3 linked regions of the Mus musculus genome follow. The protein of the gene in region 1 binds, or shares a complex with, the protein of each later gene. Links are inferred from orthologs where the notes say so. Each region holds a gene or a part of one and is shown in the gene's direction. Other genes may lie near its edges. The genes, in order: Crhr2, Ucn and Gna11.

Evidence for each region.
Region 2: the proteins of Crhr2 (region 1) and Ucn are in contact, whole or in part, in a cryo-EM structure (PDB 7TS0), measured with the Homo sapiens proteins. The link is inferred for Mus musculus from reciprocal best matches to the Homo sapiens genes CRHR2 and UCN. Residues at the interface, in NP_001874.2 of Homo sapiens: Phe68, Asn69, Gly70, Val71, Tyr73, Ile101, Leu102, Asp103, Asp104, Arg107, Asp110, Tyr113, Leu117, Asn120, Trp166, Leu169, Gln170, Val172, Asp173, His174, His177, Glu178, Thr188, Phe191, Asn192, Phe199, Phe256, Gly257, Lys258, Asp265; in NP_003344.1 of Homo sapiens: Asn84, Pro85, Ser86, Leu87, Ser88, Ile89, Asp90, Leu91, Thr92, Phe93, His94, Leu95, Leu96, Arg97, Thr98, Leu99, Leu100, Leu102, Arg104, Thr105, Ser107, Gln108, Arg111, Ala112, Asn115, Phe119.
Region 3: the proteins of Crhr2 (region 1) and Gna11 are in contact, whole or in part, in a cryo-EM structure (PDB 7TRY), measured with the Homo sapiens proteins. The link is inferred for Mus musculus from reciprocal best matches to the Homo sapiens genes CRHR2 and GNA11. Residues at the interface, in NP_001874.2 of Homo sapiens: Arg148, Tyr208, Leu209, Ala212, Ile213, Thr216, Glu220, Lys293, Lys307, Ala311, Phe358, Tyr359, Phe362, Asn363; in NP_002058.2 of Homo sapiens: Arg37, Ile348, Leu349, Asn352, Leu353, Glu355, Tyr356, Asn357, Leu358.

What each region holds. Positions count from the first base shown.
Region 1 is NC_000072.6:55,092,136-55,095,020, reverse strand, and holds part of Crhr2 (corticotropin-releasing factor receptor 2 isoform 1 precursor), read left to right. Parts: intron 1-1,656; coding exon 1,657-1,742; intron 1,743-1,933; coding exon 1,934-2,069; intron 2,070-2,466; coding exon 2,467-2,508; intron 2,509-2,885. UniProt on the Homo sapiens protein: G-protein coupled receptor for CRH (corticotropin-releasing factor), UCN (urocortin), UCN2 and UCN3. Has high affinity for UCN.
Region 2 is NC_000071.6:31,137,363-31,140,131, reverse strand, and holds Ucn (urocortin preproprotein), read left to right. Parts: upstream 1-1,236; 5' UTR 1,237-1,335; intron 1,336-1,598; 5' UTR 1,599-1,611; coding exon 1,612-1,980; 3' UTR 1,981-2,143; downstream 2,144-2,769. Other genes in the region: Trim54 (tripartite motif-containing protein 54), read right to left, coding at 2,639-2,655. UniProt on the Homo sapiens protein: Acts in vitro to stimulate the secretion of adrenocorticotropic hormone (ACTH). Binds with high affinity to CRF receptor types 1, 2-alpha, and 2-beta. Plays a role in the establishment of normal hearing thresholds.
Region 3 is NC_000076.6:81,531,612-81,535,231, reverse strand, and holds part of Gna11 (guanine nucleotide-binding protein subunit alpha-11), read left to right. Parts: coding exon 1-152; intron 153-1,825; coding exon 1,826-1,980; intron 1,981-2,707; coding exon 2,708-2,836; intron 2,837-3,620. UniProt on the Homo sapiens protein: Guanine nucleotide-binding proteins (G proteins) function as transducers downstream of G protein-coupled receptors (GPCRs) in numerous signaling cascades.

The sequences.
Region 1 (2,885 bases):
AAGGTAGAACAGGGTCTTCTAGACACTCCATATCAGCCGCCTTTCCTGCTACCTCTCAACATAGAATAGGACCCTGTGGCCAAGAGGTGGCCAGTGATTGCTGGGTACATGGGTGGGTTAATGGGAGGATGGATGGATGGATGGGCAAAAACAATGGGTGGAAAATGGAATGAAGTGTTTGGTGGGAGGGTGGTTGGATAGATGGACGACTATTTGGTAGGTTAATGGAGAGATGAAATATTGGGATAGATAATTGAACGAACCAGTTAGTGAGTTGAATGATGTTCAATCCAAGAAATTTGAGTATCTTTTTATTTCTCAGAGACATCAGAAAGACTTGGGAAAAGAAAAAGAACTTTGTGTTACCTTAGGCTAGGTGAACCTTGAGAGGCAGCAGGCAGCAGGCCATGAGCAGCCTCTTACTTCCTCCCGGCTGTCTGTGGGCTCACTGGGCCATAGTCTATAAATGAATGTGAGAGAGAAGTAAGGTGTAGGGAGATGGGAGCCTGAGGTCTCCAGCTCCTCTACTGCCCAGTTTGGGGACAGTTGGCTACAAGGCTGATATATAATGATGTCCTTTATTCCCTTCCCTGAATCTATAGAGTGAGAGAATTAGAAGGGCTGGCTCGATCTGTAGAAGCAATGGATTTTTCTAGACAGAGACTGGGGAGCATGTGTGTGTCTCCACACAGATAGGTCAGCAGACATCTCTAGGCTAATTATGTGTCGCCCAGGCTGTGAACGCTTTCTGGGGAAAGAGTCCCAACAGGCATGTACACATTCCATTCCCATTTGCCTGCACTTAGCAATACCTAAAGAGAAATGCAGGCACACGGTGTTCCCTGATAGACACATACGCATGGTCGCACAAGACCCACTCTGAGACAAGCACATATGGACAGTCATACAGGGCAGCATACACAGAGGGACAGCACAGCCCCAGGGACCAGCTGCTCAACTGACTGACTCTTGAGATCCCCCTCAGAGAGCAAGAGATGCGGGGGAGCCAGAGACCCATGTGGCAGGCAGCTGACTCAGGAGCCAACAGACCCATAGCAGTCAGAGGTGGGAGTGTCTTTGATGTTAAGGGAAAACACCAAATGAAGATTAATTGTTCCTTTCCCAGCGCAACTGGGCAGCCCATTTATCTTCCTCGCCCGTGGGTGTCTGAAGGCTTTGGAGCACCTAGGAGAAGGAGTAGTAGAGACTAATCACTCCATCTGGCCTATGTCCCCCTCCCCCCAGGGTAGGGCTGAAAGGACCTTTGACCAACCATCCTAGAGCTGGTGACAGTTTGAGAGTCTCTGAGATCCTACACCAATAAGTAGGAACCCTGTGACCAAGAGAAGTAGATCAGAGATCTGGGGCGTGGTTCTGTATTGTCTTGGAGTAAAGCAGGGGGTGGGGTTCTCAGGAGTGACTCCAGAGGAGTAGTCACATTCCCCACCCATCTTCTTTATAAGCTGCCTGGACCATGGGTGGAGGGCAGGCAGGCCCTGGAGTCAATGGGTGCCTTCCTGCCCTGCTGGGTAGGAGCAGAAGTTGGGTGACCAAAGCAGGTGCCCGGTGCTGGAGCTTCTGCAGGTGCCAGAGGTTCTTTTTCTCAGCCCACTCTCATCGCACACCCTTCCCGTGTCCCTCTCTGCTTTCTTCCAGATCAATTTTGTATTTCTGTTTAACATCGTCAGGATCCTGATGACGAAGTTACGAGCATCCACCACGTCCGAGACAATCCAATACAGGTACGGAAATGCCTGGACACCTTGACCTGGCGGGTATGGAAGAAGCAAGGGGGTCCAATCACCAGAGCCCTTGGGGTCCTCGCCCCTAGAGTTGCTTGAGCAAAGCATAGCACCGCATCCCTCCTCCCCGAGTGAATCCTATCCTATAGGCAAGCTCAGGCTTGTTCTCACCCTCTCGCTTCCCCATCCAGGAAGGCAGTGAAGGCCACGCTGGTCCTCCTCCCCCTGTTGGGCATCACCTACATGCTCTTCTTTGTCAATCCTGGCGAGGACGACCTGTCCCAGATTGTGTTCATCTACTTCAACTCTTTCCTGCAGTCCTTCCAGGTAGACACCCCCACCCCCACCCCCACCCCGGGGCAGCACACCTCCCAGGCCCGGATGCTAACACTGAGCCGGCACGCTAGGATGGGTTATATGAGCACCAAAACGCAAGCGCTTGCACATCCAGAACCCCCACTTGGCCCCAGATGCTGACCAGGGTGCCCTGATTGTAACCCCCATCCTGGGACTTAACTGTCTTAGCACTTCTCAGAACACCTAGGACAAGCTCGGGATGTTGAGGCAAGAGGTCACACCCAGCTTAGAGCAGACCCTGGGGTAACTGTATGCCTCGTCTAAGCCCAGGACTTCTGAGCTCCACCCAGCCATCCCATGTCCTCCCACACTGCTGGCTGGAATGACCCCTCAGCAGATGCCTCACATCGCCTTCCTTCCTTTCTAGGGTTTCTTTGTGTCCGTTTTCTACTGCTTCTTCAATGGAGAGGTAGGAGACAGGGCCTTTGGGGTGGTCTAGGGGCTCAGGTCTCTTAGACTGTGCTCCCAGGTGGTCCAGCCAAGCTGCCCAGTCTTTCAGAAGAGCTTCGTCGCTGGCTCTTCTCAACTCCATCTATGGAGTTGAGGAGATGGGGCTAAGAAACCACTTAGCTTTAGGGGAATAGGACTTCTCCTGCAGAGCCAGCTTAGGTCAACTACACAAGCCAGGAGTAACATGCCTGTGCTCAATGTGTGCCCTCAGAGTCTAGGAGCAAGGTGCCCAGATAGCAGGACCTGAGGAAGCCAGACAGAGGGGATGACAGAGGAAAGCTTTCAGAAAAATGTGAGGTGGCATATGTCATTCAAGCAGTTCTTTACGAACTCGGC
Region 2 (2,769 bases), on another chromosome or scaffold:
TCCTGTCTAGAGTTGAGACTTGAACTCAGCATTGTGGATGCTAGTCACGTGCTCTAACAACTAAGCAACATCCCTAGACTAGAGTGGCTATCACGCTTAACTTTTCTAGGTCCTAGTGCCTTTCGAGACCCTGTCAGGGACTTTATAGGCACAGAAATAGATACATTATTATCTGGGATCTGCAGTGGCTATGAATAAGACCCTTCAGAAGAGCACAGACCTGTCTGTAACTGGAAAGAAGCAGAGGCTGTTCATTTACAAAGACAGACGCCAATGGTTTCAGAAGTGAGGGACCTGACTACACAAGCTGGTGGCAGAGGAGGAACTTGGGCCAAAGTTTTCTCACTTCTACCTAGTGATTTCTTCGTTTTCGTGTGTGTGTTTGTGTGTGTGTGTGTGTGTGTGTGTGTGTGTGTGTGTGTGTGTGTGTGTGTTCAAAACTGGGTTTCTTTGTGTAGTCTTGGAACCAGCTCAGTAGACCAGTCTGGCCTCAAACTCAGAGATCTGCCTGCCTCTGTCTCCTGGGTGCTATGATTAAAGGAGTGCACCAGCACCACCCCAGCTCCTGACCTAGAAGGTAAAAAGGTATAATAGTACTGTTTCTGTGTTTCCTAGGAAAAAGCTGACTTTGCCAAACTCAGGAGGTACGTTAAGTTCTGAAAGCCAAACACCCTTTTATGCCATTCTGACACCTGTAGATTTTAGTTTGTACTGCTGTACAATGGTCAGTAGAATGGGTCAGACCCACTGTATTGGAGAGCCTTTGGGTGGGACTGTGTTGTCTGAGCCCCTGCCAGCAGAGCATTTCTGATCTCAATTTGAGGACCCAGTAGCCGGCCTAGGGACCGTGTCTAAGCAGCCCAGGCTTCTCCCCAGAACTTCTGTCCAGATTGTGGCTGTGAAGAAGTTCGGAACCACGGACAGCTCCACAGTCCTCCCTCTCTACTTGAGAAGAGAAACAACCCCTGACTATTCCTGCTCTGGAGACATTGGTGGTTCTGTGTCGGGGAAGGACTCTGCATCCGGAAGATCTATCTTTATGGCTCTGCCAGCTTCTCCCTCTACAGCCAGGGTGCTTCCAAAGATAGCTCCAGGGACACAAAGTCAGGATACGCACCCCTCTGGGGGCTCGAAGCTGCTGGACTCAAAGCTGCCGGTGTCATTGTTTCTACAATCAGTTCATGTTCTTCGCTGACGTCAGTCGGAGCTGTCCTGGTGCTATATAAGGCTGGCGGCGGTCCCGGGACAGACCCCGTGCTCCCCAAGGCGTCTTCAGCCCGTCCCCGGGGACAGAGTGGAGCTCCATCTTGCACTGGGCAGACACTCCGATAACCTGTGAGTGGCTTGAAGCAACGATCCAGACTCCCTTACCACCAAGACTCTGCACTCAGCCCACCCACTGTGACCTGCCGGGAGGGAAGGAGGGAGAGAGGGGTGGAACTGGACTGGCACAGCGCCTAGGGCTGGTGGGCAGGATGTGGACACCAGGCAACAGCTGGAGGGTCTCGGCAGGGGCACTGGGCGTGCGCGCCAAGGGGCTCGTGTTACCTGCGGCTGCTCCAAGTGCACCTCACCCTATGCTGCCCCTGTGTGTCCAGGGCAGGCGGCACCATGATACAGAGGGGACGCGCTACGCTCCTGGTGGCGTTGCTGCTCTTGGCACAGCTTCGCCCGGAGAGCAGCCAGTGGAGCCCAGCGGCTGCGGCGGCAACTGGGGTCCAGGATCCGAATCTGCGATGGAGCCCTGGAGTGCGGAATCAGGGCGGCGGCGTCCGCGCGCTCCTCTTGCTGTTAGCGGAGCGCTTCCCGCGCCGCGCAGGATCTGAGCCTGCGGGCGAGCGGCAGCGACGGGACGACCCTCCACTGTCCATCGACCTCACCTTCCACCTGCTGCGGACCCTGCTGGAGCTAGCTCGGACACAGAGCCAGCGCGAGCGCGCAGAGCAGAACCGCATCATATTCGATTCGGTGGGCAAGTGATCGGCCCCGTATGGGGTCACGAAAGCCTTGACCCTTTCCCTTACCTACCCCGGGGCTGGAACGCGCACAACCGGAGCTGTCTCAGTCCCGCGGTGCAGCGCCGCCCAGAGTCACCCTGAATACTCTGAGTGGTTATTTTTTAATAAAACTGCCCAAGAGCTTAGCCTCTATCTTCTGTCATAGTGGTGAGAGGGCACCGGCAACTACAGTTAGGGTAAGAACTTTTGGGAAAGTGGAGCTCTCCAGGCCGGTAGGAGAGACAAGCATGCTAAATGAGATGGGAGAGGAAGCCTATTAAATTCCTGGGAGCCCTTCCCCCAACCCGCCAGATCCCGGAACTCGGAGGTCTGATACCCTTTCAGGGTCTCCGGCTTAGGAGGCAACCTCTAGTGTAAAGGGAATGGCCACGAGGGACTATTTCGCCTCCGCCCCTTCAGATGGTCTGGGGTTGAGAAAGGGTAGAGCGATGGCGAGGTTGCTTCTATAGCTGAGCCTAGGAGTGGACAGCAAAAGGAGCCGAGGACGTGGGACACTTGAGTCCTTTATTGAGAACCTTCCCGGGGGCGGGAAGCCGAGCTTGGTGGCGCGGTGGTCTCTGCGCAGATCCTCAGCATCCCTTGGCTCCCGCTTCGGGTGTGCGCTCTGGATCAGAGTCGGGTCAGTGCAGGCCTGAGCCTGGGGGGGGGGGGGGAATTAACCGCCCGGTGAGCGGGTGCTCCAAACGAACAAGGCACTCCCGACAGCTCGCTCTCCCAGGCAGCGGGGGTTCTATTACACGGTACCTTGCAG
Region 3 (3,620 bases), on another chromosome or scaffold:
AGCAGATGCGCATCATCCACGGGGCCGGCTACTCGGAGGAGGACAAGCGCGGCTTCACCAAGTTGGTGTACCAGAACATCTTTACCGCCATGCAGGCCATGGTGCGCGCCATGGAGACGCTCAAGATCCTCTACAAGTATGAGCAGAACAAGGTGAGGGCCAGCCCAGGCGGAGTCTGTGGGAGGTACCTGCCCCCGAGGCGGGGTCTGTGGAAGGTATCTGCCCTTGAGGCAGGTCTGTGGGAAGGACCTGCCCTCAAGGGCGGGGTCTGTGGGTGGGACCTGCCTCTGAGGGGTCTGTGGGGTCTGTGGGTGGGACCTGCCTCTGAGGGCCGGGTCTGTGAAAGGGACCTCCCATGAGGGCGGGACCTAGGAAATAGGAGCACAGGTAGGGGAGGGCTGCTGGCTGTGGGTTGTCAGTATCACCTGACCTCCTGGAGACTCCTGCCCACTGAGCTTCACTGTTGTTGCTGTTGTTTAAGTAGTATTTTGAAATAACTTTTTTTTTTGAGAATTTCATATTATTTCCAACTTATTATTTCTCCTCGCCCAGTTTTTCTTGATCCTTCCCCACCAGGCTGTGTGTTCATCTGTATGTGTGTATGAATGGATGGATGGATGGATGATGAGGCTCAGGGTCTTGGACTCTTAGGCCTGAACTTACGCTGAGCCAATTCCCCAACCCTTCTGCTTTAGAAACAGGGTCTTCTTGCTCAGTAGCTTCTTGCTCAGGGTCTTCAAGATCCAGTCTTGCCATCCCTCTGCCTCTGTCTCCCAAGGGCCAGGTATTGCCTTAAGAACTTTGCATTAGATCATGGGGCCCTGTAGAGGAGTCCTTGTGTCAAGTTGGAGTCCTGTGGTCCTGGATATGGATAGAAGGGAACACCTTGACTCTCGCTTGCCCTGCCCTGGTGTCTCTGCAGCCTCCTGACAGTTGTTGATGATTCTGGGCCCATTTGAGCCTCACATCTTGTTGGTGCAGGGAGGCAGGTGGGGACTGTGGAAGCTTTGCAGGCACATCAGCTGGAAGCAGCCTTCTGCCCATTCCACAAACAGGCTGATGGGGCTGGTTCTGCCAACTTACTTCCTTATATGAGGGCCAGGGTAGTCACTGTCACAGGTGGGGTTCTTCCCACTTAAGGACAGGCAGATGTGTGGAAGCTGCCCCTCCAGGGTTCAGCAAGGCCCAGGCAGCCCAGTACATGGTGGGTGCCATGTGAGCCGTGTAGAGTCATCAACCTTATCAGGCTGGGAGCCACATCTACTAGTAGCCCAGAACAGAGGCTACCTTGGGAAGACTAAAGAGGAGGGATCCACGGTCAGGCTCTTGGGGGCTGGTTAGTGGTGGTGTGTGGTTCACTGGCTCCTCTGACCTGGGGATGTGGAAGGGCCACCTCCTGGTGCTTTCAAGAGCGGGAGGCAGCCTCAGCTTATGTGTGCCCTGTGCAGCAACTCCCCTTTCTGGGCTTCCAAGGATCAGGTTCCAGGGTGGGCTGGGTTCTTGTGGGTAGAGCACTTGCCTGGCCTGTATGAAGCCCTGGGTTCCCTCCCCAGCACTAGTAAATCCCAGTGTATGGACATAGAGGTTGCAGGGTGAGTTCAAGGTCAGCCTGGGCTACACAAGATCAAGGGGAATGCAGATTATCTGTCCCAGCCCTCATACCCACCCACACAGAGTGGTCAGGGAGCATGGGTGGTGGGCGGTGGGCCTTGTAGCCTTGTCGCTTTCTAGAGGCCTTGGCTCCCCTCACTGCCCTACTGGCTCTGCAGGCTCCTTGCTTGCCCAGGGTCCCCCCACAGGAGTTCACAGTCCCTTCCTCCCTCAGGCCAATGCACTCCTGATCCGGGAGGTCGATGTGGAGAAGGTCACAACTTTTGAGCACCAGTATGTGAATGCCATCAAGACGCTGTGGAGTGACCCTGGTGTCCAGGAGTGTTACGATCGCAGGCGGGAGTTCCAGCTATCTGACTCGGCTAAGTAGTGAGTGGGGCTGGCATGCATGGCTAACACTAGAGACGTGGATGGGGTCAGAGTGGGCATGACCTAGGCCCAAGAGCCTATCCACAGACTCACTACCCACAGGCTGGCCGCCCAATCAGGGCAGCACTCTACTCTCCTGCCCAGATCGTGTGTCCACACAGGGCAGGGCTGGTCTGACCACTCATTGCCTACATGCTGGCCTCAGAGAGAACAAGATGAGGCTTAGAGAGCAGGGGCCGGACTCAGGCTTCTCATCTGTTCCATGCCTGGCTGGGAGAAGAGCCCAGTCCTAGCCTGCCCGGAGGGTCAACCAGGGCAGCAGAGACCTGAGGACATCTAGGAGAAAGTCACAGCTTAGAGGAGTCTGTGGTTGAGAAGGTGTTGCAGAGAATCCCAGCTGACAGGGCACTCAGGACTCAGCAAGGCACCTGGGTCAGTGACCCTGAGTTGAGCCTGCTGAAGTGTCTGCCTCCTATGCTGTGGCCCTGGCTGTAGTGGGCCCCACTCTCCAGCTTTCCAGAGGCCTTGAATCCCTTCCTGCCATCTATTTGGAACAACTGTGACTCTAGATCAATGGAGATAGTGTGCTCTCACCAGAGCCAATACACAGGTCCCAGCCCTCCAGTGCCAGGTTCCCGTCTGTCTGTGGGTGGTTGTGGGTTCTGTGCCATGTCCCAGGTGTCCAATGGCCCCAGTGGGCTCCTGAGCAGATACCTCTACGTTGTAGCTACTTGACGGACGTGGACCGCATCGCCACAGTAGGCTACCTGCCCACCCAGCAGGATGTGCTGCGGGTACGCGTGCCCACCACTGGCATCATCGAGTACCCGTTTGACCTGGAGAACATCATCTTCAGGTGATGGTCAGCATGCTGTAAGACCGTAGGGAGCTGATGGGGAGAGATGCGCAGGCTTGGCCGGGACTGGAAGGCAGCAGCGGGGATCCTGAGGTTTAGACCCCTTCCTGGGACCCCTGTGAACCTGAAGAGCACAAGAGAAACCCTGGAGATGCACGGGGTGCCATGGGGATGGATGTGCTTTGCTCCCATTCAGAACCCACATCCACAGACTCGGGAGGTCACGGGGCCTGGGCCTGCAGGCATGTTGTGCCCTTTCTGCTCCCTCTTTTTTTTTTTTTTTTTTTGGTTTTTCGAGACAGGGTTTCTCTGTGTAGCCCTGGCTGTCCTGGAACTCACTTTGTAGACCAGGCTGGCCTCAAACTCAGAAATCCGCCTGCCTCTGCCTCCCAAGTGCTGGGATTAAAGGTGTTTTGTGAGACTCCCAGTGGCACCATGATGCTGACCCCAGGGCAGAGACATGTTCCTATTTAAAACCTTTCCCTGGTGGGCCATGCGTGTGAGCATACCACGTCCATCACTCCCTTCTACTCACTCCCCTGGGTGGCCTCTCAGGCTTGTGCTCCCTCGGCACTGAGGCTGCATCTCCCCAGGAGAGTGTCCCTACCCCAAACCTCCCAGCCAAGGTTCCTCCTTGGCTGCCACAGCTACTCCAGTGAGGGCTGAGGCCCATGGGACATAGTTAGGGACCACATGGCCTATGACCTCAAGTCTTGGCAATGTGTGGCCAGTTGGGCAGCTGCTGTGTGGCTCTGAGCTATAGAAAGGTGATTCAGGTCTATAA